Sus scrofa: one gene and its partners. The protein of the gene in region 3 interacts with the protein of the main gene of each other region in a pairwise test. Links are inferred from orthologs where the notes say so. Each region holds a gene or a part of one and is shown on either strand. Other genes may lie near its edges.

Region 1 (7,802 bases), on a different chromosome or scaffold from region 3:
ACATGTGACCTATACCATAGCTCCCAGCAACGGTGGATCCCCAACACACTAAAGCCAGGAATTGAACTTGCATCCTCAGGGATACTATGTGGATTTGTTTCTGTTGTGCCACAGCATGAACACCTACTCCCTAAGTTTAACTAAAGAAACCATACATAATCTTTTACCTTTAAAAGAACTACAAGTCAAAAAAAAAAAAAAAAAAAAAAAAGCCCAATAATGAAGAATGCAACATAAAGATAAAAGCTATTAAAAACCATGACCCAAAGGAGGCAAGTTGGCCTGCCATCTTCACCAACTAATATTAAGTCTAACTTTGATCTACCCACAAAATCTAATTTTAACCTAACCACATTCAAATGCCAAAAGAATAACAGGAGAATATTGTTTATCCCAATGTTCAAAATTTTGACATATTATGGGAGTCCCCTTCGTGGCTCAGCAGTTAACGAGCCCCACCCACTAGGATCCATGAGAATGCAGGTTTGACCCCTGGCCCGGCTCAGGGGGTTAAGGATTTGGCATTGCCATGAGCTGTGGTGTAGGTTGCAGATGCGGCTCAGATCCCAAATTGCTATGGCTGTGGTGTAGGCCATCAACTATAGCTCTGATTCAACCTCTAGCCTGGGAACTTCCATATGCTGCAGGTGAGGTCCTAAAAGAGAGGAAAAAAAAAAAAAAAAAAAAACTTGCCATATTACCTGTTTAGAAGTACAGCACTTCCTTTAAATTGCCGATCAAACTTCTCAACACATTTACTATCTGCAAACCACTTCTTGTGTGTGTGTGTTGCTTTTTTAAAAATTGACGTAGGTGATTTACAGAGTTCCCATTGTGGCTCAGTGGTTAACAAACCCAACTAGGATCCATGAGGATTCGGGTTCAATCCCTAACTTCACTCAGTGGTTAAGGATCTGGTGCTGCCGTGAGCTGTGGTGTAGGTTGCAGACGTGGCTCGGGTGCTGCTGTGGCTGTGGAGTAGGCCGGTGGCTACAGCTCTGTCTGATTCCATCCATAGCCTGGCAACCTTTATATGCTGCAAGTGAGGCCCTTTAAAAAAAAAAAAAAATTTTTTTTTTGAAAGTAGTCGAGGAGTTCCCATCATGGCGCTGTGGAAACAAATTCAACTAGGAAGCATGAGGTTGTGGATTCAACCCCTGGCCTTGCTCAGTGGGTTAAGGATACAGTGTTGCCGCGAGCTTGGACAGACAAGCTTGGATCTGGCATTGCTGTGGCTGTAACTCTGATTAGACCCCTAGCCTAGGAACCTTCATATGCTGTGAGTGCAGCCCTAAAAAGCAAAAAAAAAGAAAAGCAAAAAAAAAAAAGGAGTTGATTTACAATGCTGTATTAGTTTCAGGTGTATAACAAAGCAATTCAGTTTTATATATGTGTGCATTTATTACTTTCCAGATTCTTTCTCGTTACAGGCTATTACAAGATATTGAGTATAGTTCTCTGTGCTACAGAGCAGTTCCTCGTTGTTTATCTATTTTATATATAGTAGTGTTACCTGCTAATCCCAAACTCCTAATTTACCCCTCCTCCCTTCCTTCCCCCTTTGGTAATCCAAATTTGTTTTCTATGTCTATGAGTTGATTACTATTTCATAAATAAATTCATTTGTATCATTTTTTTACATTTCATGTAAGCCATTTAACTGATCTCACAGACACTTGAGAATCACACAATATAAGTTGAAAATGATATTTAACATAATTTCCATCGATAAAAATTCCCTGAATGCCTACAAAGGTGGGACAAGCAGGAAAAAACCTGACTCTTAGGTGCTTATGATTATGTCCAGCAAAAAGTAAGGAAAGTCACAAGCTAACTCCATTAGCAATGAACAAATATGTTTTCTGTAGACTTCTACAGGGATACCGATTGCAACAAACACTAATCAGCTGCTTGAAAAAAAAAAATCTCAGTTGTTTTGTGGTGCAGGGGGTTAAGGATCCAGTGCTGTGGCCTGGTTTGCTGCCATGGCTCAGATTTGATCCCTGGCCCAGGAGATTCCACATGCTGTAGGCGCAGTCAAAATAAGTAAATAAATTAAATTAAACAAAACTCACTATTTAAAACCGTCCAAAAATAGAATTCTAAAGGACTAACCTGTGGACAAGGATGCATTAAAAAGTACTAAAATTTTGCATTTTCACTAAAAATGAACACTTAAAATTATTTTACAAGAATCCTAAAAATACTATAGTTTCAAACTGGCTTTCTATTTTATTCAAACACTAGGTTTTTAAGTTCCTCACTCCCCACATTTGAATTCAGTATTCAAATCTCCCAGGGGTCATTACTAGAAGGACTACTATACTGTATCATTCACAAGATCACTGGAAATTAAGCTCCTAGAGGTTTACATTGAACAAGGTATATAATCACATTTTGTATAACTTTGTATCCTAAAGAACACTTGGTACAAGGTTCTAAACATACAGGGGGCCATAAATATTTACTGACTCAAAACAGTTCTTCAACACTTTGTAGTTCTGTTCTCTGCTGTTGAACCAAAACAGCATAGCTTTGCAAAACCCAAATTACCTAAATGTTACTGAAACTGCACAGAATACATTATTGTTTTATTGTTTAGAGGTTTTAGCCTTGCCCCTATTACCAGCTGCAATGCTTTTTATTGAAGCTGGTACAATAGGTAGGAGAGTTCGTCCAGTTAGAAATAGATGTCACAACTCATTAAAAGGGACTTAACTAAAATTTTACAAATATATCTTTTATCTATTTAACATTAATGTTCTAAAAACCAGTTAACTGTACCAGCAACTTAAGAGTTTTGTAGTCCATCTAATTTTCAGGAATATAAATAAAAATCGGTACCAATAAAAATACAAGGGAGTTCCCACTTGTGACAAAGTAGGTTAAGAATCCCAATGCAGTGGCTGGGATTGCTGCGGAGATGCAGGTTCAATGCCCAGCCCGAAACAGTGGGTTAAAGGATCCCGGTTAAAGGATCCAGCGTAGGCGTAGCCGCAACTGCATCTTAGGTCCAGCTGTGGCTCGGATTCAACCCCTGGCCTGGGAACTTCCATATGCCTCGAGTGCGGCCATACATACAATTTTCAAAAATAAATAAATAAACAAATGAATAAATAATAAATATAAGTACAAATGACCAAGCAGAAAAACTGCCTTAAATTCGGGCAACAAGGAAAGGATAATTAACATCAATGTAACTGAAAAATAAGCATTTTTGTATCCTATAGATCTTTTTATAACTAGTTTTTTTTTTTAATTATAAAAGTCTTCAAAGAAAAGTCAAAGCAAATTGGGACGCCATCATCAAAATCACGAACTACCATTAAAGATTCACAAAATTATCGGGCAACCAAGGTCTAGTACAGTTCCAGAGTATCAAACGTTTTCTGGCTACACACCTCTAAAACAGAATCACTTGTATGTGACATTCCTAAAACGGCAACACAGGCCTAGAAGTTTCCGTGAGTCAGTGCCGGCAAACCCAAACTATGACAAACATACTCTCTCCTTTGGGCGGTAACTATCAACTTTGTGCTCTGGGATCAGCCTGCTTAAAATAAGTTTAAGATGGTGCCTGAACTGGGAAGAAAGCCAGGAGAACGGATAAAGAAAAAAAATCAAACAGAAACCTAACTTTAAAAGTTAAGTTAAACAGTGTCTGAGAACTCTTCCAGAGGATAAAGCCGCGGAAGAACAGATGGATCTACACCCATTCGCACTCTCTGAGGCGTGCGCACAGCGCGGAAAGGATGAATGAATGGAAGACAGGCGCGTGTGAAATGCCGCAGGTCCGGCCGGCAAGCCGACCAGCCCCAGCAGCTATCAGCAGGCCTCGCTCCTCCCCCTTCCCTCCTCCATGACAGCCCAGGCTCAAGCATGGAGGGGCGAGGACAATGTGATCCCCCTTCCAACCACCAGCACCCTTCACCCTACTCTCAGAGCTTTACCGCGCCACCAAGGGTTCTCCTCCCCACCCCGAAACCTTTCTCGCCTCCCGGGTCGCCAACCCCGACAACTCTCGGACATGCTGGAGTAACATGCGCTCGCCCCTCTCGGCTCCCCTCGGCGAGGAAGAACCTTCTCCGCGCGTGCCGCGGCACCACTCCCGCCCAACCCACCCCGTGGCACCGCGCGCTCACCGGCTCCCTGGCCCACCGGTCTAAGAAATCCCGGCGCGCGCCCGGAACCCAAGCCCCTGAGCCAGAGCTCGGGAGGGAGAGAGGGAAAGGCTGCTCCGAGGCTCCCTCCTCCATCTCATTCCAGGCCGGCTCGCCGCCCACCGTCCCTGCGAATCCTGGCGCTCGTTCGGAGCCGGGCCCGCGCCTTCCCATCGCAAAGGCACGATTCCCACACACCTCGCCCAGAGGCCGGATCACGCACCACCCTTATAGACACCTTGCGGCTCCACAGGGGGAGCCGCGCCGCCCCTCCCCCACATCTCTCCCCTAGCTCGCGGGCCCCCACCAGAACGTGTGCTCTACACGCCGTGGCGGCCAGCCTCCGGGGCGCCCCCAATTGTCCGCAGGGAGGTCAGGCCAAAGAAGAGGGGGAGGGGGCGGCAAGGGGTAGCGTGCGCGCTGGGAACGCCGTCCCGCGGGATCCTTCAGTCCGAAAGGAGACGGAGCGCGGGGACCGGTGGGGGTGGGGGCCAAAGGCAATACTCACCGGTTCCACAGTCGCCATCTTAGATCGATCTGATCGCACAACCGCTCCTGAAGGGAGGGGGTGAGAGGAAAAAAATGAGATTCAAACCGGATTGGCCGGCTACTGTTCACGTGACGGACGTGTCCGTTTGGCCCTGGCGGCGCCTGCGCAAGACTGCAGCTGCGTGTTTAACAAGAGGCTTCTGGGAAGTGGAGTCGCTCTCTCGGTGGCTCGCTCTCCCTGTCTCTTTTTTTTAGGCTAGGAAGTTTAAAAAAAAAAAAAAAAAAAAGACTGGTCACGTGGCCGGTGGGTACCGTGCGCGGTTCTCGGCGCAGCGGACACTCGCGTGCTGGAGGGTGGCTTTCAGTCCTCTGCTCTTCCGCCTGGGTAGTTGCTGTCGCACTCACTGCCAGGCATGCCTCCTGTGCCCTTTGTCGCCCTGTCCTCCCATCTTCCTCGGAAGGTTGGGAACTGTAGGCTCAACACGCACAATAAGGCTTCATTTGCTTAGTTGAGGTCCTAGGACAAGTTGCCTGTGTGTTTATTTAATTTTCTTTTGACTTCCCACCATTTTCTCTTAGTTCCAAAAAGAGGCGGCGAGGGAAAATCGTTAAGCAATCAACCCTCCCCCGTCCCCCGGCTCCGCTAACGCTGGTGGTCACTCATTGCCATCACTGCGAAAGGGAGTGGCGGAACCGCCCACAGTAACCACTTGCCACAGTTCGGGGGAGGGGGAGTGCACCCGACAGCTTTTCGTGTTCCAACTCCTGAGATTAAAATCTCAGGGCTAAATCTTGCGTGGAAGTAAAAATTATCTGAAGTTCTGTCCTCTCGATTGCACTGTTCTGCTTCGACGTGAAGGGAAATAGCCCAAGTCCAGGTGCCAGCCAGGGAAGCCACTCCGGCCCCCGCTGACTAAGCCCTGGACTGACCGTCAGGAGTCGTTAGGCTGGGTCAACTATGACTCTTGACGTTGACTCATTCTCCTTAGGCAAGTGACTTAATCATTCAGTGCCTCAGCTTTTTCATTTATGAACCACAGATGGTAATACACTTACCTCACAAGGGTATGCTGTGGTAATGATTGTAACCAGCTTTGAAAATGCATCAGACTCTATAAATGCTTCATAATAAGCAACCTCGTGCCTTCGTAAGGATCAGCTGCTTCCCTTACTGTTCTTTAAACAATGTTTTAAATTTTTCTTTTGCTTATGTTGTTACATTATCATGTACACCAATGCAATTTTAAAAGTTTCGAGACAATGTTTTTATAACTAGCTACCCTCCATAGAGGCTTTAATGTTTAGGAAAATATTGTTATAATCACTGGCAATTAGAGGTTTATCCCCAGAGTGACATCCGACGTTTTCTTCCCCGCTAAGATACTGTGCTGTCATTTCTTTCTTTTTTTCTTTTTTTTGCTTGTGCTGTCATTTCTGAAGACAGTCTTACTCTGCACAGTCTGGTTATCCATATAAAAAAACAGAAGAAATCTAGCAGAGTGCTACTGCAAGATTTTAATGAGGAAGATATTATATCATTACTATTTCCCATGCTTCTTAAGAATGTTAACACCAGAAAAATCAGTATAATCAGGCTACCTGTGCCTGCCTGCTTTAGTGCTGCTGATGTCCAGAGCTGTGTCATACCTATTATTGAGTACATAATGGTTGCTTGAGTTGACTAACACATAATTGAGACTGTAATAAGAGCTCAAAACCATTTCCTGCTCATATGCTTTGGTTTACCTGGATGTCAGAGATGATTAATGAAAGCTTTGGTCCAGTCAGCTTAGCTCTAGTAGGTTTAAAGTAATAGAGTTCTAAAAAATAAAATAAAACAAATTGGATAAAGAGGTTTCTATTTGCAGAGACTATGTGCTCTTAATTAAACTATCCAAAGTAATTATAGGCAATCCCAGTGATATCTTCTGTTAGTTAAAAGTAGTATCTGATGGGAGTTCCTGTTGTGGCGCAGTGGAAGTGAAACCGACTAGGAACCATGAGGTTGTCAGTTCCATCCCTGGCCCCACTCAGTGGGTTAAGGATCTGGCCGTGCTGTGAGCTGTGGTGTAGGTTGCAGACTCGGCTTGGATCTGATGTTGCTATGGCTGTGGTGTAAGCCGGCAGCTGTAGCTCCAGGTGGACCCCTGGCCTGGGAATCTCCATATGCTGTGGGTGCCATCCTAAAAAAAAAAAAAGTAGTATCTCAATATCTTTGAGGAGATAATATAGATGTATTATTTTCCCAATGCTGCTAGATAACAGATTTAAAATTTAAAAACACTTCAATCTCTATATGGGACTGAAAACCACTGATATTCTCAAACTTTAATGATAGCTCCCATTTTATTAACTCTCTTGATCAAAACACTCTTCACTTTTGGTAATCATCCTAGTACTTCTATGGTGCATATATATGCACCTATTCTTCAGAGCTTAATTTCTCTCATTTTGTATGTATTTTGTTGCATGTGTTTTGTGGCATATTCATGTGTCCTTGCTTAACATCACTATTAGATTCCACCATGTCAAAGACTTGGTGATTAAGTTTTTAATCTATGTGTGTCTATGGTTTTGTTTTGGCCAATCTGAAATGTACAGAGAAGAAAATTTATACTATATTAATCTACAAATGTACATTTGTTACATTACTACCATATTTGTGTTTGCATTTAAAGAAAAGAGAATAAAAAGATTTTTTTAAGTGGGAAATGGTATTGAGATACTATTCTACTTGATCTCATTATCTAGTTAATACATAACTAATAGCCCAGTGTAATATCATGGTAACAATTATTTATAAGCCTAAATTATTGGTCATCATTTAAGAATGTAAAAATAGTCATTATCTTTTCTCTACATATTTTCCTGAGGCTGCTTTATTACTAGTCTATAGATTTTAACTCACGGTAAAAAGACGTTAAATAATGTAATAGAATGCATAATAAAAACATCACATCATTTTTATCATGTATTTTATTTAGGTTTTCTAGATAACCAAAGTCATTGTTTTGCTGGGCATTGTTCAACTATGGTTCAAACTAATTACATTTGCTATGATCAGTCGATCCCTCAAAAATATCACTGCTACCCTGTCTAGGATTTTTCTTTTCTTTCTTTCATTGGCTGTGTCCCCTGCCTAAGATTTTTTTT
Region 2 (7,849 bases), on a different chromosome or scaffold from region 3:
GACCATCCCTGGTTCCTGTATGCCTCTTACTAGCTTAGTCACCTGGTATTGGTCCCTCAATCTCTGACTGCTTCAGAAAGCGGAGATTAGCTCTGTAGCTCCTGGCAGAAATAAGCAACGATTAACAACAGCTATCGCTTATGAGGGGCACCTGTCTACCGCCTACCACTGACGGTCCCGTTCAATCCACACGCCAACCTGAAGAGGCGGATACTTTCAGTACAGGATCGCCAGTACCGTGCAGCCGCCCTGGGGGTGGAGTCGGGATCTGTACCAAAGCCATGGGTCCAGAGCCTGCGCCGCCGCCGACTCGGCGCTGTATTTCTCCGAACCTGCCCGGAGAAGGGCTCAGGACGCGCTCCCCTGGGCAGGGCGGGCGGCGGCAACCCAACAGAAACACAGCTCAGGCCCGCAGGCCGCCGGGTCCCCCAAACCCAGCGCCGCGGCGCAGCGGCCGGGGGCCGGCGTCCTGGGATACGCGCTCCCACCTGGCCGGCGCAAAGACGTTCCGCCGCGTCCCGCGCAACCGGAAGTGGCCGGACCCGAGGCGGAGGGACCTGGCGGAGCGGAAGTCACTCCGTGAGGCAGTGGCGACGGCGGCGGCGAGAGGATGAACAACAAGTTCGACGCGTGAGTGCCGCGTGGCCGACCCCCGGGGCCCCTTCCCCCAACCGCTCCCCGCGCCCGCCCCCGCCGGGACCGCGGCAGGCGCAAACTGCGGCACCGGCTCCCCTCCCTCGCTGGGGCTGCGGGCTGGCCCGGCCTGCGCGGCCGGCGGGGAAAGGGGGTTTGGGGACGTGGGATGCCGGGGTGTCGGGGGGTCCCAGGGTCATACGGACCGAGGACGACGTGCGGGGCGGGGGGGGGGAGGAGGTGGCCGTGCCGCCCGGAAGGGGATTTTTGGACGCCCAGCGCGGCGGGTGCAGGTTGCCCGCGGCGTGGAGGGGCGGAGACCTCGGTGGTTTGGGTGTTTCCGCAGCCTGTCTCCCTTGGCTCTGAATCCAGCTTTCCGCACACACTCACGGTGGCCTAGCGAGGTCCCGTCTCCTGTCTGTGTTCTCACTTGCAAAGTGGGCACGGTAACAGAGCCCATGTGGGAGAGTTGCAAAGATGCGGTGAGGTAATGTGGCTGCCGCGCTCAGCGCAGTGGCTGCTCAGTTACGGAATTCTCCTCGTCTTGCTGAGACTCCTTCCTGCTTCCTTTCTCCTCCCCCTCCTTTCCCCGTCTTCCAACACACTCCAAACAAGGGCGCCTCAGTTTCTTGCCCAGCGAGTTCACTTGTTTTTACCCTTCCTTTGCAGCTCTGTGCATATCTCATACGATTTCTAGTTCCAGCATCAAATAATTTGGAGGCGCAGGAAGGAAATGCAGTTATTTTTGCATATTTTCCTCCAGCGATTGTTATCACGGGATAGATTATGTTCTTAGCTGTCTTTTAATCGGCTAGTAACTCTATCTTCTCTTCCCAAGACCTAGATTTCCAGTCCCAGACCCACCAGTCACCAGTTATTTGACGGCAGAAAAGTTACCCGGTTTCTGAGCCACTGTTACCCAAACCACATTAGTGGTTAGTGCCCTGTTGCCACACTGAATGTGATATGGATCAGATCACATCCAGCCGTGCTTAAGGTACTTTGTAAACTGACAGGGAGATATAAATGTAAACTGAAATTACTCTTAGTTGAGGTTGCCACTCACTGTTGCTGATGGGAAATTTTGAGTTTTTCCAGTACAGTGAGTGCTGGTGGATAATTCAGAGGTCCTGGATTCCAGCCCTCCTGGTAACTCTTCAGGCATGTTTCTTGGTTGCTGAGCGGACTCTTGCTGAAACAACATTCCTTTTTGATTTTTTTGGTTTTGGGGTTTATTTAAACAAACAAATGCTTGCTTGCTTGCTTGCTTGTTTAGGGCCATACCCCAGGCATAATGGAAGTTCCCAGGCTAGGGGTCAAATTGGAGCTGTAGCTGCCGGCCTCCACCACAGCCACAGCAATGTGGGACCCGAGCCATGTCCATGAGCTACATCACAGTTCACGGCAATGCCAGATTCTTAACTCACTGAGCAAGGCCAGGGATCGAACCTGTGTCCTCATGGATGCTAGTCAAATTCATTTCGGCTGAGCCACAACAGGCACTCCCCCACACTCTTTTTTGGATGGGACTTGAACCCAGCCAGAACTCAGAATGGGACTTGCATCCACAATCCCCAGCTTAGCGGGGGACTCAAACCCACTTTTATTGTCTTTTTAGGGCCACACCCATGGCATATGGAGGTTCCCAGGCTAGGGTTCAAATTGGAACTGTAGCTGCTGGCCTACACCACAGCCACAGCAACACCAGATCCGAGCCATGTCTGTGACCTACACCACAGTTCACAGGAAGGCCAGATCCATAACCCACTGAGTGAGGCCAGGAATTGAACCTGCATCCTCATGGATGCTAGTCAGATTCATTTCTGACGAGCAACAACAGGAACTCCTCAAACCCACTTTTAATTGAAACCACTCACCTGGTGTCAGGACATACTGAAGCTCAGGTCAAGAGGCAAAATGATAGACAAGGGTGATTTATTACCACCGGATGCTTGTGAGAGAGAAGCGGGCAGGCCAGGGAGTGCAGTCCCAAAGGAAAGAGGGCTCTGTTTTTATAATCAAAAGAAAAAGTGGGTCCTCATTTTTGGATAGATGTCAAGGATCACATCATTAAATCCTCCTCTGGCCCTCTGTGGTCTAACCAGAACTGTTCCCACCGTGGCTCAGCAGGTTACCAACCCAACTAGTATCCATGAGGATGCGGGTTGGATCCCTGGCCCTGCTCAGCAGGTTAAGGATCTGGTGTTGCTGTGAGCTGTGGTGTAGGTCACAGACGTAGCTCAGATCCCGAGTTGCTGTGGCTGTGACCTGCAGCTGCAGCTCCAATTTGATGCCTGGCCTGGGAACGTCCATATTCCACAGATGGGTCCCTAAAAAGCAAAAAAAAAAGAAGAAAAATGGCAATAACGGCTTCCACATGCGTTGCTACTTTTCGTATATTATTTCTGTGTCTGCTAACAACCCTCTAAAGCAGATTTTGTTAACCTCCTTTATAGATAAGGAAAACGAGACTCTCTGAGATTAAATAACTTGCCTGCAACAAGAAGGGCCATATGGTGGGATTCAAACTCAGGTTTGTTTAATGTTGGTTCAAGTACCTCTTGACGAAAACTAACTTTGATCGTTTTTAATTAGTTTTAGTTATTAGCTATTTGTATGCTGAGCCAGATTTTTAAAATATCTGTTTTCTAGCTCTGCAGGAAGCAAAACTGTCTTCCATTTAATTAGCACCTGAGAACAACACCCCTGCCCTTAGTTTTGTTTTTGTTGTTTTTGGTTTTTATGCGAAAGAGTGCAGTTTTTAGGCTACTGCCTTGTATTTGGCCTCTGCACCCTTCACCACATGGCTCCTAAGGATGTGTTCCAGTTTGCCAGAATCCTGATCCAGTGCCTGGATTGAGTACTGTAGTCTAATCCGGTGGGTTTAGATTAAAGATGAGCTCTAGGCTCCCTTTTTGTGAGACTTTCCAGCTTCGTAACCTAAATGCCCCCCCACCCCCAGTCCTGAGCTCCCACTGGCCTTGATCCTGTTCATATGCAGAACCCCAAGAAGCCTTCACTGTACTTCAGTCCCTAAGGTATTGAGCTGGGTTTTTAAATTTAGATGCCATATTTGATTTCGTACCTGTTCTTTCTCCATTAGCTTTGGCTCATCTTTTTCTTCCTTTTTAAACATTTTTTTGGCCTTGTTTGTCGCATGTGGGAGTTCCTGGGCCAGGCATTGAACCCCAGCCACAGTAGTGACAATGCTGAATCCTTAACCACTAGGCCACCGAGGAACTCCAAGCTTTGGCTCATTCTTAACTGTTGTCTGAACAACTTGTTTGATGCGCATCCTCTTCTGCCTTGTGCTGCTTTGATTTTAGAAGTCCATTCGGAGTTCCCATCGTGGCGCAGAGGTTAATGAATCCGACTAGGAACCATGAGGTTGCGGGTTCGGCCCCTGCCCTTGCTCAGTGGGTTAAGGATCTGGCGTTGCCGTGAGCTGTGGTGTGGGTTGCAGACGCGGCTCGGATCCCGAGTTGCTGTGGCTCTGGCGTAGGCCTGTGGCTACAGCTCCGATTCGACCCCTAGCCTGGGAACCTCCATATGCCGCGGGAGCGGCCCAAGAAATAGCAAAAAGACTAAATAAATAAATAAATAAATAATTAAAAAAAAAGAAGTCTATTCACTAAACATGTGTGATTTCTCCCACTGCCTGATGCTGGACGTGTAAAGATGGATTAGACCACGTTCCTACCTGCAGTGAATTGTCTAGTCAGAGTACGGGGGTATACCTGGTGAGCTCATTAGGTGCCACTCAGTCTGGACAGCCTTAGATACTAATTGCTGCCTGAGGCTGTGGAGCACTGATTTTTCCCTGTGGATTTTATCATTGCTCTCATCCAGCCTCAAGCTGGGAGGAATGGCCTCCGGAAGATAGGATGCAAATGACTTGCCCTAAGTATAGACTCGGTGTAGAGTGGTTGCTTAGCTCCCCTCTCAAGAAATAGCAGCATAAGATGAAGATCCATTGGGGTTTGCATTTACTATCTTAGGAATCGTAGGAGGGAGTTGGGAGATGGGGTCTAGAGAATCACAATAGCATTCTTTCTTGTCTGGCAAAATTGTTTTTCTTTCTTTTTTTTTCTGTTAATGGTGGTTTATCTCAAAAGCAATAAAAAGAAAGGAAGACACATGCTTTCCTTGTGACTGACAGAAGGCGAGATGCTAGGTGATGTGCCCTCCTCAGCCGGGGTGAAGAGGAGCGGACCCCAGCGGATATGGTGGGGGGTTGGGAGCTGAGAAGAGAGAAGTGGTTTGAGCCCCTGGGGTCCACCCTAAAGAAGAGAATTAGCTGTTTGGGGCCTAAGCAGTAGAAAAACTCATGAGATGTTTGCAATCAGGGGACCAAAAAAACTGGCCATGAGCATCGCTGGGACAAGTACAGGCATTTATGTGGGGATGCTCTGAAGAGGGGCTCCCAACTCAGAGAGATGGGGAAATATTTTCAGGACAGGGTGGCTTTTAGTCTGCGTCTTAGAGGACAGGTTAAGTGGGCAAGAGGAGCTGTCTGAGGAGAGACAGGTGACAGCATAGCAGGGTGAGGTCGGGACTGCAGGTGGTCAATAATCACTGGAGGTGTTCTCTGGTCTCTGATACACACCGTGTGCTTCTGAAGGTTGGGGACCTGCTTGCTGGACAGGCTCCTTCCGAGAAGGAGACCTGCCCAGCTCAAGTTTCATAAAGGGGAAGGGGTGTCGTGAGCACCATTAGGTAGGCCTCCCAGGAGGCAGGGAGGCTGCTCTCGGCCCTGGAGATGGCAGCATCACAAGCAGAACCCTCCTCCTTCCTCCCCACTCTGCCCATCTGCTCCCTGCCCTTCACCCCTACCGGCTTTCTCTGCCTTTGCGTGTTGTCTTTATTTTCTCAGGGCTTTTCTTATATGAGACTTAGATGAGTGCCTCAGCTCCTGAATCGGTGTGATCTTTCATGTCCTGGATGAACAATTGAGGGAGGAATCGACTCATAATTTTGAGCAAGACCCTGAGCCATTGGTTATTGGCCAGGCTGGGCTACCCTTTGGCCAGGAGCCCTTCATAGGCATGTCTTGGCCTGGGTAAGGATGGCAGTGGTCTCGGTGCGTGACCTCCAGAGTGTGTCCTACACCAAGGGCAGTGAAGTGGGCAGAGCAGACGTCCCAGCAGGCGCCCAGCTCATCCATTTGGACATTGGAGCACTTTTTTATGCAGTAGGCACTTGGGATTCGTGGGCAGACAGACAAAGGGCCGGGTACTTTGCACCAGACGCTTCTGCATCCCCGTGTGGCGATGCAGGCAAACCTGCTTTCACTGCCCTTCACAGATACTGCATTTTTTTTCAAAAATTGAAGGTTTATAGAAATCCCATGTTATTGGATGATCATTAGCATTTTTTATCGATAAAGGATTTTTTTAATTAAAATACGTCCTTTTTTTTTTTTTTTTTTTTTTTTTTTTTTTTTTGTCTTTTTGCCTCTTTTTGTCTGTTGTTGTTGTTGTTGCTGTTGTTGCTATTTCTTGGGCCGCTCCCGCGGCATATGGGGGTTCCCAGGCTAGGGGCTGAATCGGAGCTGTAGCCACCGGCCTACGCCAGAGCCACAGCAACGCGGGATCCGAGCCGCGTCTGCGACCTACACCACAGCTCACGGCAACGCCGGATCGTTAACCCACTGAGCAAGGGCAGGGACCGAACCCGCGACCTCATGGTTCCTAGTCGGATTCGTTAACCACTGCGCCACGACGGGAACTCCAAAATACGTCCTTTTTTTTAAAACATATTGTTTTATTGCGCTCTTATTAGACTGCAGTGTAGTGTAAACATACTGTGTGTACTGGGAAACCAAAAAAAATGCGACTTGATTTATTGTGATAATTTGCTTTATTGCAGTGACATGGAACCAAATCCACAATATCTCCGAGATATTCCCATATCTCAATTATAGTTTGACCGTTTCTAGCACATTTTCTTAGAATTGCCAAATTCGATTTGACTGGGTAGGGTCAAAATGGTGATTTCAGAGAAGATCCATGTAAGTTAATGATCCAGCTCTAAACTAAACAGCATTCATACTATCCTTGTGAATTCACCTTCCATTTATCTTTTGGTCTAAATCCAGTGAACTTGAGGTTCACTGAACGCCTTAGTATTTTGTTTTCGGGGGCGGCACGTTATGCTCAGAGACTGAGATTTTCTTTGCCAATAATTTAACACAGATTCACTGTGAGAATTACACAGTAGTTTCACAAGCCAAGTGTGCAGATGTGTACTATTAAACCGGTAAATAGCATAACATACTCCACACCAGCGATAGATTACTCATACTGTCATTTTAGCAAGAGGAGATGAATAAAGCCCAGATTTTGTTGAGGCAACCTTTGTGTGCATTGGTAATTGAATGAGACAGCTTGCCAACCAAGAGCTCAAGTCCAGCTGCCGGCTCCGAAATAAGTCCCTTGGTTGCTAGAGCACGAGCCTAGGAACCTAGAGCCCTGAGGTGATGGGCGGGCTGATCTCTGTGCGGCTGCCCAGACTGCTAAGGGAGTCACCTTTTCCTCAGCAGGAGTTAATGTCCCTTCTCTTCCCGAGCCTGCTGCAGGGTTTAACACCACTCCCTGCCAACCAGGGTAGCCTTGGCCACTGTGGGAGCAAGGCCTCAAGATCTTGAGAGAGCAGCATCCACAGAGAGTAGCTTTGCCCTGACGGGAAAGGTCCCCTCATCATAGTTCCTTAGGTCCTTCTTTATCTGTTTTTATTGATAAGCCCCAGCAGGGCCACTCAGCAAGTGAGCTACTAGCGCTTATCAACAACAGCAGATGAGATGACATTCTAACACACTTAATTCTTATGTCAAAGCAACTTCTGCAAAGAGTTTTTGTTCTTTGTCGTAAACAAGTGGATTAAAATATTTTCATTTCAGTTGCAAGCAGCTTTGAAATCATAGAAAACCGGCACACAGCACTGAGGATACTTTCTCTGCTCCTAAAACATGGCACCTAAAGTACATCTGACTACTTCGCGGGAGAGAAGACCTTCCTTCTTTCATTTCTTTTGCTTTTCATTCAGCATCTTCTTGTCCTATGTGCCGAAGATACCAGGATTAATAAGACACTGCCCTAAGAGCCCCTTCCATCTAGTAGGAAAAACAGATGTGGGAGGAATGGTGCCTTAGGCTGAGGGGTAGTGTTTGCACATAGCACAGATGTAGGACGGTAGGTCGCTTTGGAGGTAGGGGAAG
Region 3 (7,850 bases):
CTCTTCAGTGAATTAGGTATATTATGTGGCTAATATCTAGAAACCTTAGACTCAAAGGATTTCTATCAGGGCCTGAATCAAGTCTCTCTCTCTCTCTCTCTTTTTTTTTTTTTTTTTTCTTTTTTGGCTGCTCCGAAGCATATGGAATTCGCGAGCCATGGATCAGATCCAAGCCACAGTCACCACCCAAGCTGCAGCTGCTGCAACGCTGGATTCTTAACCCACTGTGACCCATAGAGGAACAAACCAACATCCCAGGCACCCAAGACATTGATCTTGTTGCATCACAGCAGGATCTCCTGAATGGAGTCTTCTGTTCCACTTTGGAAATGCGTGGCACTGGTCTCTACCCTGCCTCTGAATTTGCCCAGCAAGGGCACCTGGGCTGCCAGGAGGCAGCTTTCCCGTCTTCATTCTAGAGTTTGGGACGCGTGCCCCACGCCTTCTCCAGAGGTGCAGCCAAGGATCAGGCCCAGAGCTTCCTCACCCCTGTCCTCCAGCATCCAGCCTCCCCAAACTGCCCCCGCCCTGCCTCGTTCCTGCCATCTCAGGGTTCATGTGAACCTGCAAGACAGCCCCTGTGGTTCCCTTCGCCAGTCTCCACACGCTTCTAGAGGGATCTTAAACACAAAGCTGACATGTCACTTGCCTGCTAAATACTCCCAGTGGCTCCTTCACACCCACGGAAAAAAAATTCAAAATTCCTTAACATGGATCATCTGGTCCCAGCCTGTGTCGCTGGACCCCACCCTACCCTCGAGCCACTCTGAACTGTCAGCCCTGAAGTGCACCAGATCTTTGCACGCGTATCTCGCCAGGCCTGGAAGCTGCCCCCACAAAAAGGTCTCCCTACTCCCACCTATAACCTTCCCCTGACTGGCTAACTCCTTTTTTTTTCCCCCAGTTTTTTTGTTTTGTTTTGTTTTGTTTTTCTGGCTACACCTGAGGCATATGGAATTTCCCAGGCCAGGAACTGAACTCATACTACAGGAGGGACAATGCCAGATCCTTAACCCACTGAGCCACCAGGGAAATCCATGTGTTTAAAAAACAGCTTTATTGGAAGTTCCCCTATGGAACAGCAGGTTAAGGATCTGGTGTTGCCATAGCTGTGGTGCAGGTAACAGCTGCAGTGTGGGTTTGATCTCTGGCCAGGGAACTTTCATATGCCTTGGGTGTGGCAAAAAAAAAAAAAAAAAAAAACAGATTTATTGATCCAGAAATCCCACTCCTGGGGATATATGTGGACAAAACTATGTTGCACCCCTATGTTCACTGCAGCACTATTCATGATAGCCAAGACATGGAAACAAACCAAAAGTCCATCAACAGACAAATGGATTAAGATGTGGTACATATATACAATGGAATACTACCTAGCCATAAAAAAGAACAAAATAATGTCATTTGCAGTAATGAGAATGCAATGAGAGATTATCACACTAAGTAAAACCAGAAAGAGGACAAATACATGATACACTTACATGTGGAATCTATAATACGGCAGAGGAAGCTTCTGTTCTGGCTCAGCGGTAACGAGCCTGACTAGTATCCATGAGGATGTGGGTTGGATCCCTGGCCTTGCTCAGTAGGCAAAAGGACCCAGCATTGCCGTTAAGCTATGGTGTAGGTTGCAGACACAGCTCAGATCTGGTGTTGCTGTGGCTGCGGTGTAGGCTAGCAGCTATAGCTCTGATTTGACCCCTAGTCTGGGAAATTCCATATGCCACAGGGACAGCCCTAAAAAAAGCAAAAATAAATAAATAAATAAATAAGGCACAAATGAATCTATCTATAGAACAAACAGACTCACAGATATAGAGAACAGACTTGTGGTTGCCAAGGGGGTGGGGGGAGGAAGTGGGATGGAGAGGGATTGTGGTATTAGTAGATGCAAACTATTCCATTTAGATGGATAAACAGCAAGGTCTTACTGTACAACACATGAAACTATACCCAATCTCCTGGGATATGCATGTATAACTGAGTCACTTTGCTAAACACTAGTAATTGGCACAATATTGTAAATCAACTATACTTTAAGGTAAAAAATAAAAATAAAAAATGCAAGAAACCCCCAACTTTATTGAAGTATAATTCACATACTTAACTCTTTTTTTTTTTTTAATGGCCACATCCTGAGCCACTATGGTTGGATTCTTAACCCACTGTACCACAGCAGGGATTCCAACTCTTTTAAAGTATATAATTCACTGGTCCTTAGTGTATTCCGAGTCATGAAACCCCCATCACAATCACCACACTCAAGTCTCAGGCACTGGGCCTTTAGTGGCTGAGACTGCCCTGCATGAACTTTCACCAGACCTGATTATCTTTCTCTTCTCTAAATTCTAGTCACCATAATGACCCCTCAAAAGAAACTAGTCAAAAAAACAGATATTAACCAACACTGGCAAGGATGAGCAGGGAAACTGGAAACTTTGTTTGAATATAAAATGGCACGGCTGCTGTTTGGCAGTTCCTCTAAAGGTTAAACACAGTTATCTTGTGGCTCAGCAATTCCACACCCCAGGTATATACCCAAGAGAAATAAAAACGTACATCCACACAAAAATTTGTATATCAGTTCAATAAGTAGCATTATTCATAATGCTGGAAACAACCCCAAGTGTTCATCAACCAATGAATGAACAAATGTGATATATCCTTGCAATGGAATACTATCTGGCAATGAAAAAGGGATGAGGAGTTCCCGTCGTGGCTCAGTGGTTAACGAATTCGACTAGGAACCATGAGGTTTCGGGTTCGATCCCTGGCCTCACTCAGTGGGTTAAGGATCCGGCGTTGCTGTGAGCTGTGGTATAGGTTGCAGACGCAGCTTGGATCCCGAGTTGCTGTGGCTCTGGCGTAGGCCAGCACGGCTACAGCTCAGATTAGACCCCTAGCCTGGAAACCTCCATATGCCGTGGGAGCGGCCCTTTTAGAAAAAGGAAAGAAAAAAAAAAGAAAAAAAGAAAAAGGGATGAAATCTATGCTACAGTATGAATGGACCTTGAAAACATATGCTAAGGGAAAGAAGTCCATCACAAAAGACCACTAATTGTTACGATTCCATTTATATTAAAGATCCAGAGTGAACAAACCTATAGACACAAAATAGATTAGAGGTTGCCTAGGGTTGGAAGTGCTAAGGAGAGGTGGGGTGTGCATGTGTGTGTGTGGACTGCTGAAGAGTATAGGGTTTCCTTTGGAACTGATGAAAATGTTCTTTTTTTTTTTTGTCTTTTTGCTATTTCTTGGGCCGCTCCTGCGGCATATGGAGGTTCCCAGGCTAGGGGTCGAATCGGAGCTGTAGCCACTGGCCTACGCCAGAGCCACAGCAACGTGGGATCCGAGCCGCATCTGCAACCTACACCACAGCTCACGGCAACGCCGATCCTTAACCCACTGAGCAAGGGCAGGGACCGAACCCGCAACCTCATGGTTCCTAGTCGGATTCGTTAACCACTGCGCCACGACGGGAACTCCTGATGAAAATGTTCTAAAATTGACTGTGGTGATGGCTGCACAATTCTATGAATATACTAAAAACAACTGAAATTTACATTTTAAAAGGGTGAAGTATATAGTATGTGACATATCTCAATAAAGCTATCACAGGAAAAAAAAGGGACCTGGCCTCCAAGCCAAACCCATATCTTCCCTCAACATAAATTCCTCCCACTTCCTCCTGCTTTTTTTTTTTTTTTTTTTTTTGGCTTTTGTCCTTTTAGGGCCACACTCTGGGGCATATGGAGATTCGCAGGTAGGGGTCTAACCCGAGCTGTTGCTGCCGGCCTACCCCAGGGCCACAGCAACGCCAGATCCCAGCCGCGTCTGCAATCTACACCACAGCTCATAGCAATGCCAGATCCTTAACCCACTGAGCGAAGCCAGGGATCGAACCCACAACCTCATGGTTCCTAGTCGGGTTCGTTTCTGCTGTGCCACGACAGGAACTCCACCACGTTCTCCTTCTTAATGAGAGGCAAAAATTTGACTCTTTTCCCTCTTAATTCTATCCTACCCCTGCAGGGTAAACTCTGCATTTCTCTCATACATAGCTCCTTTTTTTTCCATGGCCACTGTTGGCCATCCTAGAGTGGGGCTCTCACTGCCCTTCTCTGGGACTGTCACAATGGCCCCAAACTGACTTCCCAGTTTCCAGTCTCACTCTAGCCCAACACACTGACTCCGGATCGATTTCCCCATGGATTATAGAGGACCCCTACGGATGACAACTGTATCCTCCCATCAGCCTGGGGGCTCCTGAGCGCAGGGCTGTGTCTTTTCCCTCAGACTGGGGACCCTGAGGACAGAGCCACCACTATTGCCTTCACTTTGGGGCGGCTAAAATTTGGGCTTTGTATTACGCCTCTTTATTTTGGGGACCCAAATTTGTCCCTCCACGGGCCTCTGTGCTCTACAGCGCCAACACAGACCAGCCAGCTGCACGCCTTCATTCCCCAAATCTCCAGCTGGAAGCGCTCACCTAGCAACTTCTACCACCAGCTCCGCCCAGGGAGCCGCGTCGCCACCTCCCCCCTCCACGCGCTGCCAAAGTAGGCGGGGGCCTAATCTGCTCCCAGAACGCTGAGGGCCCGCTGATCCGCCGGGCTCGCTTGTCCTCGAGGCTCTCTGTGCTAGGGCCCCAGCCTGCGTTGGGGGCTCTGCGGGCAGAAAGGTCCGGGGCTGGAACTCACCACGCAGGTCGGCCGAGCCCCCCGCGGCGCCGCCATCTTGTTGTCACGCGGTTTCCCAGGCAACCAGGACCAGTGCACTTCTCATTGGCTAATACGTGGGGTCCTGAGCAACCAGCAGGCAGCGGAGGAGGGTACAGCCTTCTGTACTCGAATTCTATTGGCCCACAGAGTCTAAACTCCTCGCGGGATACATGCAAATCCCAGAATCCACCGCTCTGCGCGGACTCTGGGTTTGGGGGAACGGAGGGTCTATTTGTTACCACCCCAAGGCACTGAAAGTGGAGGGCCTGGGGTTGGATTCACGAAGCCATTAGAAGTCGCTGGATCCATAGCTGTAATCCCGACAATGTTGTTTTGCTAAATTGATTTGGGGAGAAATTACGTTTCTCTGTTTTCTCGTCTGATCAGTACAGTGCTAAGGGGGAGTTCTTTGGAGTATGAATTGACATGATGCAAGTAGTTAATAAATGTTTCTTAAATCTGAAAACCTCTGTTAACTTCTTGACCAAATGGTGCCCTAAAGGGGCGCTCAGATTCTATTTCCTTTGTGTAAAAATTCAGGTAAGATTCCCCCTGCCTTCGGATAAAACACTTTTTTCTTTTTGTGACTTTGGGTGAGACATTTCCCCTCCTGAGCCTCACATGAAAAAAATAAGGTATTGGATTAGAGCAACAAAAGGTGATTTAGTTAAGAGCATGGACTTTGGCCTTTGGAGTCCAGGCCCCTGACTTGTGCGTCCTGGGGCAAGTTATTCACCTTAATTTCTTCTGTAAAATGGGGAGAATACCCACCCCTATAGGGTTGTGTGAGAATTAAATGAAATAATGTATGCAGAGTGCCTGTCACAATAGCTATACAGAGTAAGCTTTCAAAACATTTCCTGCTTTTAACTACCGTTATCTCACAACCTTCCACCTGTGATACTCTGAGAGTCTATGCCTTGGCTCAGCTACCAAAGCCCTTTTTCTGCATGTCTCAACCACACGTAGTATTTTCCATTTGACTCTAATCTACTGCATTTAGGAGAGAGCAGGCTCCTTGAGGCATTCTTTACACACCAATTGGAGAAGGAGGGGAACTACCAATTAATGAGTGTCTTTCAAGTGCCCACTGTCAGCATTATGAACTTTACAGCAGAGAAGACTGAAGCTCAGAGAAGTGAAGTGACTTGTTCAAGACCATACAGGTAGAAAGCAGCAAAAGTCGATGCTAATCTAGACTCTCTGCCTCCAGAATCTGTGCTCTTTCTAGAAGCTCCCACTTAAGTAAAACATGCAAGCAAAAATAAGCCAGGGTACAGGTGGTTCAGGTCCATGGCCAGGGGAACAGTTCAAGTGGAAGGTGTGACTGAAAGCTCTCTTGCCACTGAGCTTCTCCCAGAAAGTTCTCTGAGGCCTGATATATATGAGATGAGAAAGTTTGAGGTCATGCTAGGCCAACTGTTTGGGGAGGCTGGAGCCATAGTCAGGGGATTGGCAATCTTACACTGTCACCTTGCTCCTGTTCCTTCTGCTCTTGAAGGTAAACAAGAACCAACAGCAGGGGAAGCAGGGGGCTCTGGTCTCATGGGCCCTGTGGTGCTCCTTCGACTGCCTCCCACCTCAGCAAGACTGGGGAGTGAACTGGCATTTACCCAAGCACCAGGATTTACAACATAGCTTCCTCCTACCCAGAGCTGGGAGCCTGGCCTGAGATTCTGCAGTAGGCTGACATGCAACAAAAATCTAGTTCCTGTGAGAGAGGCAGGAATCCTCTAACCTAGCAGGCAGTTTATTTTTAAAATAACATTTATTAGGAAAAGTCAGAGCTGTATTATGAAAATGATAGTGTACATTTTCATCATAGAAACTTGGAAAATAATAATAGCCATGACTTACTGAGACTACATTCTGGGTCAGCATAATTTAAAGTCTGTGGGGCTGGGCTCTGTCACTTACTAGCTGGCTGTTTCTGCTCCAGATACTCCACTGAGCCTTAATTTCTGTATCTGGAAAAGAGAGATACTAATTGAACCCAGTAGGCTTACTGTCCAAATTAAATTTCTTGTAACACTGTTGTATTATTGTTTTGGAAAAGGTGTTTACCAAAAACAAAAAGTTACAAAAGTGAAACAAGAGTCTAAATTCACCTAATAGTTATTTTTCTGACTTATATTTTTCTATCTCCCATCTTAGATGGTTCTGGAAATTTTTCTAAGGTCTCCAGGTTCACATAAGATTTGAGTGTTGGAAGGATGGTGGAGGACAATCTGTCCAGCTTCCAAGCTCACCCAGGATCCCCTCTGGACTTCCCAGATGGCCGCCAGTTGGCTTCTTCTTGATTCCACTGCCTGACGATGGTGGGAAGGTGCTGAATGACAGGAGGGAGGCTCTTTCTGGGCCTATTCCCCACCTGTGCCTTTTTTTATTCAATTTTATTTTTTTTAGGGCCGCACCTGCTGCAGATGGAAAGTCTTAGCCACCAGCCTATGCCACAGCCACAGCAGCTCACAGCAACGCCAGATCCTTAACCCACTGAGCAAGGCCAGGGATCGAACCTGAGTCCTCATGGTTCTTAGTCAGATTCGTTTTTGCTGAGCCACAATGGGAACTCCTTGTTCCCCACCTGTGGTGTGAGGAAGTAGACCCCAGGCCTGGAGTTAGAGAGTTCTGGAGGTCTCTATTCCCCCACCCCAACCCCACCCCCATGGGCCCAGTGGCATATGGAGCTGCCAGGCCAGATATCAGATCCGAACCATAGTTACAACCTAAGTCACAGCAGTGGCCACGCTGGATCCTTAATCTACTGTGCCCAGTGAGGATCAAACCTGCATCCCAGCACTCCCAAGATGCTGCCAATTCCATTGCACCACAGCAGGAACTGCAAGGTTTCTATTCTTGGGAATAGACAGAGCCCACTTTGCTTATAGGTCATTTCCTGAAGGACCCTTATCAGTTATGACCCCTTTGGGGCTAAAGAGTTTATCAAGTCTTAGCAGCTCAGGAGAGAGAGGTAAATAATAATGGAGAGGAGTTCCCATTGTGGCACAGTGGAAACAAATCCGACTAGGAACCATGAGGTTGCTCAGTGGGTTCAGGATCAGGCGTTGCCGTGAGTGAGCTGTGGTGTAGGTCAAAGACGCAGCTCAGATCTGGCGTTGCTGTGGC
Region 4 (7,336 bases), on a different chromosome or scaffold from region 3:
ACGAAATCCTCAAGAACCTCCAAGAGTCTGTTACCCACAGACACAGCCGTGCACCTGCTTAAAGACGTTCAGCCACTCCGGCAGCCATAGCTTGTTCTTCATTTGATTTGGTTTCTTCATTGATGTGATCTTATGATTATTTATTAATAATGCACCCTTTTCCTTTTTGTTCTCAGAGCAGGCTGAAGGCTGTAATATATACAGATATATTAAACAAGGACTTGGGCCCTCTGTGAGTTTCTCTAGACCATTCTCTCCATCTAATCATCATATCAATGGTGGTTGTGTGCAATATTGTTCACCTTCCTTTTTTCTTGCAGTTTCACCATTCTGATTGCCTCTCCACCTGGCTGCTTCATTTCATCGCCACTAACTACCTCATCTTCAGTCAAAAGCCTGAATTTCAGGATCTTTCAGGTAGATTGCTAATAACTGTTTTGAAAACAAAACTTTATATTCTTTGCTCTTGGATTTGAGAAATGACTTGTAAGAATAGTAGTTTTAAAAAGTAAAAAGTCAATGTAATACATTCCTTTAAGTATGCAGTATGGTAATTGAGGATACTTTAACTTATATAATAACCTATGTTATGCAAGAAATTTTCTAATGATTGTTTTACAGTTCCCATCCATTTTAAAGTACATTTAAAAATTTTTCTAAAGTAGGAGTTCCTGTTGTGGCACAGTGGTTAATGACTCCGACTAGGAACCATGAGGTTGCGGGTTTGCTCCCTGGCCTTGCTCAGTGGGTTAAGGATCCAGTGTTGCCATGAGCTGTGGTGTAGGTCGCAGACAAGGCTTGGATCCCATGTTACTATGGCTCTGGCGTAGGCTGGCGGCTACAGCTCCCATTGGACCCCTAGCCTGGGAACCTCCATATGCCACGAGAGCGGCCCAAGAAATGGAAAAAGACCAAAAAAAAATTTTTTTTTCTGAAGTAGAGAGATAGGAGTTCCCGTTGTGGCTCAGTGGTTAACGAATCCGACTAGGAACCATGAGGTTGCGGGTTCGATCCCTGCCCTTGCTCAGTGGGTTAAGGATCCATCATTGCCATGAGCTGTGGTGTAGGTCGCAGACAAGGCTCGGAACTCGAGTTGCTGTGGCTCTGGTGTAGGCTGGTGGCTACAGCTCCGATTAGACCCCTAGCAGGGAACCTCCATATGCCACAGGAGTGGCCCTAGAAAAGGCAAAAAGATAAAAAAATAAAAATAAAAAATGAAAAATAAAAAAATAAAGTAGATAAAGTGGCCTCAGATGGTGGCATTGGTTGTGATAAATGGAATTTGGTTTTAACCACCTAAGTCAGAAACAACATTTAAATAGTACAGCTTTCTAAATTTTTTTCTTGTAAGGAAAAAAATATCCCTTATAGGTCTGTTTTGCTGATATCTCCTGTTTGTATAGGAGTCTATTACATTGCTTGGCAATAATGATTCTTTATTGATCAAAGATTGTTGCAAAGTTTACTGAGCAGAGAGTATACTTAATGTGATTTTTAAAAGATAAATTAGAAAGATTAAAAGCAATCAAAGGGTGAGTTTCTGTGTGCTGTATAAGATGAAAGAAAATGAAAATAGAATAGTCATCAGAGTAGGCTGTTTAGATATGAGGGTTTGCTTGTGTTATTGCGTAGAATAGACTCAAGGAATAATCGTGTTAAAAGGAGAAGGAAATTAACCATCTCCTAGTCAAGTAGTTTCAAACTCTAAAAGGTGAAAGGAATTTCTGTTGTAGCACAGTGGAAACGAATCCAACTAGAAGCCATGAGGTTCAATCCCTGGCCTTGCTCAGTGGGTTAGTGTTGCTGTGGCTGTGGCGTAGGCCAGCAGTTGTAGCTCCAATTAGACTCCTAGCCTGGGAACTTCCATATGCCATGCATGCAGCCCAAAAAAGACAAAAGACAAAAATAATAATAATAATAAAAGGTGAAACCTCCTTGGAGATGCCAGAAGGTCTTGTGGGGTGGGGGCAGAGAGTGAAGCGGGTGCAGGAAGGAGAGGCTGATGTGTGCAGTTCCTGAACTCCTCCCCCCAACCTTCATCCAGAATAGTTCCACTTGTATCTGCTTAAATCTTAGAATTCTACTTAAAATTTTGCTTGTAAAAGAGAATCTGCTGCTAAAAGATGTGTACATCTCTGGTTTCATTCAGCTACTTGTTGTGCAGTTAAGGAAACCAAGAAACCCATAGTCAGTTCTTGGCAGACGTATTGGGAGAGTATTTAGCCAGTCAACAAACATCATATGCCTATTGGGAGCCTCTCTACATAGAATTTAACTATTGGTGCAGAGGAGTACCATAGTAAATCAAAGCAGAGTAATAGATATTTAATAGCCATTTACTTTGTGCAAGAAACGAAGTCCATTCCTAAGCCTAATGTATATTTACACTGGGTGTTAACAGGGGCATTGTTACATAGTTATTCTTTAAGGAGTCAATTAAATATGAAATAAATGAACATTTTGGGAGTTCCAGTCCTGACTCAGTGGTAACAAACCAGACTGGTATTCACGAGGACTTGGGTTCAATCCCGGTCTCACTCAGTAGATTAAGGATCTGGTATTGCTGTGAGCTGTGGTGTAGGTCGCAGACATGGCTCAGATCCCTAGTTGCTCTGTCTGTGGTATAGGCCAGCAGCTTTAGCTCTGATTCGACCCCTAGTCTGGGAACTTCCATATGCTATGGGTGCAGCCCTTAAAAAAAAAAAAAAAAAAAAAGAATAGAAATGAACATTTTGATTTTAGGGCCACTTGCGTTATGCCACCTGAAGTCACCTTCAGTTGTAAAAGAAGAGTAAGATGATTTTCCACTCACTATTTTGTGTAGATGTATGATACACATAGAGTACTATTACAGCCTTGGGAGAAAGATGCTCTGGGAATCCTTTGAGTTATTCATTTTCATTTTATCATACTATTTATGGAATTGCCTATAAGTATGTTATGACCACCTGACATAGTGAGAGGCAGGACTCCAAGGTGTAATTTGAGAAGGCAGGATAAGAAAATGAGGCAGTGTTAGTGATTCCCTTTGATGAGAATTAGAACAGTATCATGAGTGCTCTGAGTCTGCGGTGCCTGTTCATGTCCAGGACCTGCTGTGCTTGGGCAGAGGAAAAAAGTCCCTGTTGGTAAGGGAGAATGCAATAGTCTATGTCAGCAGCTACAAACCCACAGTCTGGGGGTTGAATATAACTTGTCAAGGGGTTTTATTTGGACCACATGGATTATAATTAAAAAAAAATTTTTTTTTTAAATTTTTTGGGAGTTGCCATTGTGGCTCCATAGTTAATGAATCCGACTAGTATCCATGAGAATATGGGTTTGATCCCTGGCCTCACTCCATGGGTTAAGGATCTGGTGTTGCCATGAGCTGTGGTGTAGGTCGAAGAGGTGGCTCGGATCCTGAGTTGCTGTGGCTGTGGCTGTGGCTGGCAACTTTAGCTCTGATTCTACCCCTAGCCTGGGAACTTTCATATGCCGTGGGTGCAGTCCTAAAAAGACAAAAAAAAAAAAAAAGAAAAAAGAAATATTGGGGCAGAGGATGCTCATTAAGGGAGGTATTATAAAGGAAGCCTCCAGCCTTCCACCCATATCGACGTTCTAGAATTCTGACCGCCACCCTGACTACCACTTTGACTACATAAAATTGAACCATCCTTCCCTGACCTGAGAGAAAAAACTCTATAGGTGCAGTCACTTCGACATTCTGAGGGAAATTTTCAACCTAGGATTCGATATTCAGCCAAATCACTTATCGTGTGTAAGGATACATTAAAGATGTTTCATCACAAGCAAGGTCTCAAAAATACTTCTATGCACGCCCCTGGCCTTGCCAGGAAGCTAATGAAAGTTGTGCTTCACCAAAACTAGAGAAAACAGAGTGAAGGATCTGGAGGCCAGAGGTGGAGGGAATCCCCCAGGACAGCTGGCAGCAGAGTTAGAAGGAAGCGGGTACAGGCTCAGAAGAGAGGGGTTTCCAGCGTGGCAGCAGCAAGGACAGGAAGGGCTTGGTCCTCTGATTGCTGTGGCCCCATGGAAAATAGAATGGAGAGGACTTTAAAGAGTTCGGAAGGTTGAATTAGCTACTGAGAAAACTAAATGAAAAAAGACAAAAACATGTCCCCTGTCTCCAGGGAAAACAAATCTCATTTGGGAGCAAAAAAAAAAAAAATGTAATCAAATACTACTTGATGAAGCAGTGACAAGAAGTATATAATTGTAAATCACAGACTAACTTAAATCTGGATGACTGAGAGCAGGAGAGGGAGTATGCAGCAGAGTTTGGATCTCATCTGTTAAACAGGAAACCAAGAGTTAATATTGAAACTTGATTCCAAATTAAATATATGCAATTAATATTCTTTCTCTAAAAATTTTAGTGGAAGAACGCAGTTTTGTTGAAAAGCACAGATGGCCATCGAATATGTACTTGAAGCAGCTTGCCGAATACAGGAAGTATATACACTCCCGGAAATGTCGTTGCTTAGTAATGTAACCTGGAAATCTCGTATGCATACACTTTTTCCTTTTACTATGAAGAATCGGATACTTCTGGGTTCCAGTAAAAGTCTTGTGGCAGAAACCAATGTGGGAGTTAAAAAAAAAATATCACATAGAGCTTCATGTGTTCTTAATTCTCTTTGAAAAAGCTACTGTTATGATCTTAAAAGGGAACAGAGTATATACTGTAGGCTAAAATTAAGCCCTTGAAGATGCCCTGTTGCTTTAGTGATATTAATACCCCTCCCAGTTAAGAAATATTTAATTTAAAGAAATCAAGTGGAATTAATACAGAAATTTCATCATGTTTGATTAACTGCTCGGTTAAAATAAGGGCCAATTGAAGACCCAGTGTGACTATTTCTATCATAAGAAATCTAGGAGAAGACTGATCAAGCTGAGATTTTAGAAATATAAGTCTGCCTGGGATTTTGAAAGTGAAATGGCCACTTCGTTCTAATCAGTGACAGTGTTTGAACCATCATGAAAAAAAAAAATCTAGCTTTTATATGGGCAACCGGACTGAGCCACCGTGTCGATCCTCTGGAATTCTGATTAGGCAAGAAATCTATATAGGGCTGGATTTATGGCCATGTAACCTGTGTGGTCACACAGGCCCCTTGCTCAGAAGGGCCCCATGCTTGGTTCAGTGCTTTGCGAGCTTAAAATTCTTAATAATATTTGAAGAGGGGCCCTGCATTTTCACTTTGTACTGGGCACTCCTGCCAGTTAAGTATATCTTCTAGCAGGGTATGTTTTCTTGTGCAAGCAAATGTTATTCTGTGTGAAAGCAGAAAGGAGGTGCTGACAGTAAGCAAAGAGAAGAAGGCTTGCTGAAGGAAGAGATACAGACTTTCCCATCCTTGGTGAAGTCTGTGCTTCCCAGGGCCTCCCTCCTCTGCCACCCTGACTGGCAAGTGACAAGTGCGTCCTGTTGGCTTAGCTGTAAAACGCTCATAGTTCTGGCTTTATCACAGGTGAATAGTTTCTTGATCATTCTCTAAGACTAGGATATTGGCAAAAGTGACTCACCAGTGTGACTTTGATATTCATTTACATAATCGCTCCTAGGAAAAGAGGCTTCCTGGAGAATTTGCATTCAGAGGCCTAAGAGTTTTGTTTTTGTTTTTTTTTCTTTTAATGTGTTTAGTAAGATTAAGATGCTAGTGGCTTGAATTGTGTGAATTCTTTCTGAGGACCGAAAGGTTGTTTGATGAGGAATAGCATGAGTCTTGTCCTTCAAGATAATGTAGTAAGTTAAAAGAAAGGATATAAATCCAGACTTCGTACATGTAGAAAAAATGTAGGCACTAGGATAGAAGACAGATCGTTTCTCCTGTATCATATGCCAACAGAAGTAATTATATCAGAAGCTCACAAGCTGAGAGATGAAAAACTAGATTACCATGTATTGTTAGTATCATTTTCACCTGTAATTAATAATACATTGGGATATGTTTTTCTTTTAATTTCCAATGACTTTAGAATACACATAATTTTTCTAGGTGTTCAACAGTTTGATTAAGCAGTTTTATACTATAGTATAAACATAATACTCTACACTTAGTCCTTGAATGTAACCAGCACCATCAGAGTAAAACAGTAAAAATCCTCTACAAATATCATCCAAGAAACCTGATTTCAATTGGATTGTACTAATGGAGATTACTGGAATGCCTTTTATGATTTTTGTATTTTACTCAGTTGAGTTAATCAACTATTGGCAGATCCCATTCGACAAGGATTAGCATTGGAAAAAATAAATACTGCAGTAGATTTCAAGAAATTCATTTATGTTTTAGACCTTTTAAAATACGGTGATAGTCTTGTGCTTTTCACAAGGATATTCTTACACCCACATTATTTACAGCACTTAATATTCTAAGTCAGTTACTTGTAACCTAGAAAATTGAAAAATAAAAGTTCTAAAGCAAAATATTTTCTTGAAAATAGTATTTAACATTTCAGTAGATCATAAATAGTCTTTGGGTTCTTGGTCCCAAGTGGAAGTTGGGTTTGGGAGCTGGTGCTCTGTGGTATGGAGCATGTAGTTTTTATTATGAAGGCGAGTGCCTCAAACACACGGGTATCACAGCTCTCCTGGGCTAGTCAATGCAGTAATCAAATTAGTTTTTAAACCTAGATTCTTCAATACCGTTGAATTAACTTAGTTTAAAGTTAACAAGGACATATTTTTAAAACCTTAAACACTATCTTGGAGAAATGAGTGTTCTTTTTGAGTTTTTCTAATTGAAAAATTATTTCTAGATGAATGTATGCTTTGTGCTGATCTCTGCTTCAGTATATTTACCACTCATTTTAATTAGAGTAATTACTGTATGGTAGAACTAAGGCCCTTTCTTTCTGGGCCAGGTTTTCACCTTATATAACCCTTTGTAGACTTCTGACTACTCTGTGTTTATACTGTAGGAGAGTAGGCTTATAATCTAGACGGTTCAGTAACATAGCTGAAATTCACCCTGTCTAAGCCAACATAGTGGCTTCATATTGGGCAGAAGAAGAAAAACTGAATTAGGTAAATTTGACTTCCCAGACAGCTGAACTTTTCAACTGTAATTCAAAAACTACACTACACTGATATAGTTATTTAGACACAAAAATGTCCTCAAGAGTATTTTATTTAATTTAAAGCATCTGTTGAATTCAATCTTTAATAATTTTGCAAAGATGGGTCTGTGTGTATTTTAATATAGCCTGACCTGAATTTATATGTTTTTAGTTTAGTATTTAACATTTTTGTAACAAATAAACCTTTTTTTTAAAACAAGTTTAATACAGTGTCATGTAATTATTTTACCTTGGATGTTGAATTGCT

Evidence for each region.
Region 1: the proteins of UBXN11 (region 3) and EIF4E interact in binary tests that used the Homo sapiens proteins (3 or more experiments, as listed by UniProt). The link is inferred for Sus scrofa from reciprocal best matches to the Homo sapiens genes UBXN11 and EIF4E.
Region 2: the proteins of UBXN11 (region 3) and EIF4E2 interact in binary tests that used the Homo sapiens proteins (3 or more experiments, as listed by UniProt). The two-hybrid records come from large-scale screens. The link is inferred for Sus scrofa from reciprocal best matches to the Homo sapiens genes UBXN11 and EIF4E2.
Region 4: the proteins of UBXN11 (region 3) and RHOBTB3 interact in binary tests that used the Homo sapiens proteins (3 or more experiments, as listed by UniProt). The two-hybrid records come from large-scale screens. The link is inferred for Sus scrofa from reciprocal best matches to the Homo sapiens genes UBXN11 and RHOBTB3.

What each region holds. Positions count from the first base shown.
Region 1 is NC_010450.4:121,406,624-121,414,425, reverse strand, and holds the start of EIF4E (eukaryotic translation initiation factor 4E), read right to left. Parts: upstream 4,441-7,802; 5' UTR 4,335-4,440; coding exon 4,143-4,334; intron 1-4,142. UniProt on the Homo sapiens protein: Acts in the cytoplasm to initiate and regulate protein synthesis and is required in the nucleus for export of a subset of mRNAs from the nucleus to the cytoplasm which promotes processes such as RNA capping, processing and splicing.
Region 2 is NC_010457.5:133,059,706-133,067,554, forward strand, and holds the start of EIF4E2 (eukaryotic translation initiation factor 4E type 2), read left to right. Parts: upstream 1-1,494; 5' UTR 1,495-1,630; intron 1,631-3,089; 5' UTR 3,090-3,146; coding exon 3,147-3,166; intron 3,167-7,849. UniProt on the Homo sapiens protein: Recognizes and binds the 7-methylguanosine-containing mRNA cap during an early step in the initiation. Acts as a repressor of translation initiation.
Region 3 is NC_010448.4:83,709,689-83,717,538, forward strand, and holds the start of UBXN11 (UBX domain-containing protein 11), read right to left. Parts: upstream 4,828-7,850; 5' UTR 4,704-4,827; intron 4,695-4,703; exon of another isoform or gene 4,493-4,694; intron 1-4,492. UniProt on the Homo sapiens protein: May be involved in the reorganization of actin cytoskeleton mediated by RND1, RND2 and RND3. Promotes RHOA activation mediated by GNA12 and GNA13.
Region 4 is NC_010444.4:102,387,847-102,395,182, forward strand, and holds the end of RHOBTB3 (rho-related BTB domain-containing protein 3), read left to right. Parts: intron 1-176; coding exon of another isoform or gene 177-232; intron 233-320; coding exon 321-417; intron 418-4,379; coding exon 4,380-4,495; 3' UTR 4,496-7,288; downstream 7,289-7,336. UniProt on the Homo sapiens protein: Rab9-regulated ATPase required for endosome to Golgi transport. Involved in transport vesicle docking at the Golgi complex, possibly by participating in release M6PRBP1/TIP47 from vesicles to permit their efficient docking and fusion at the Golgi.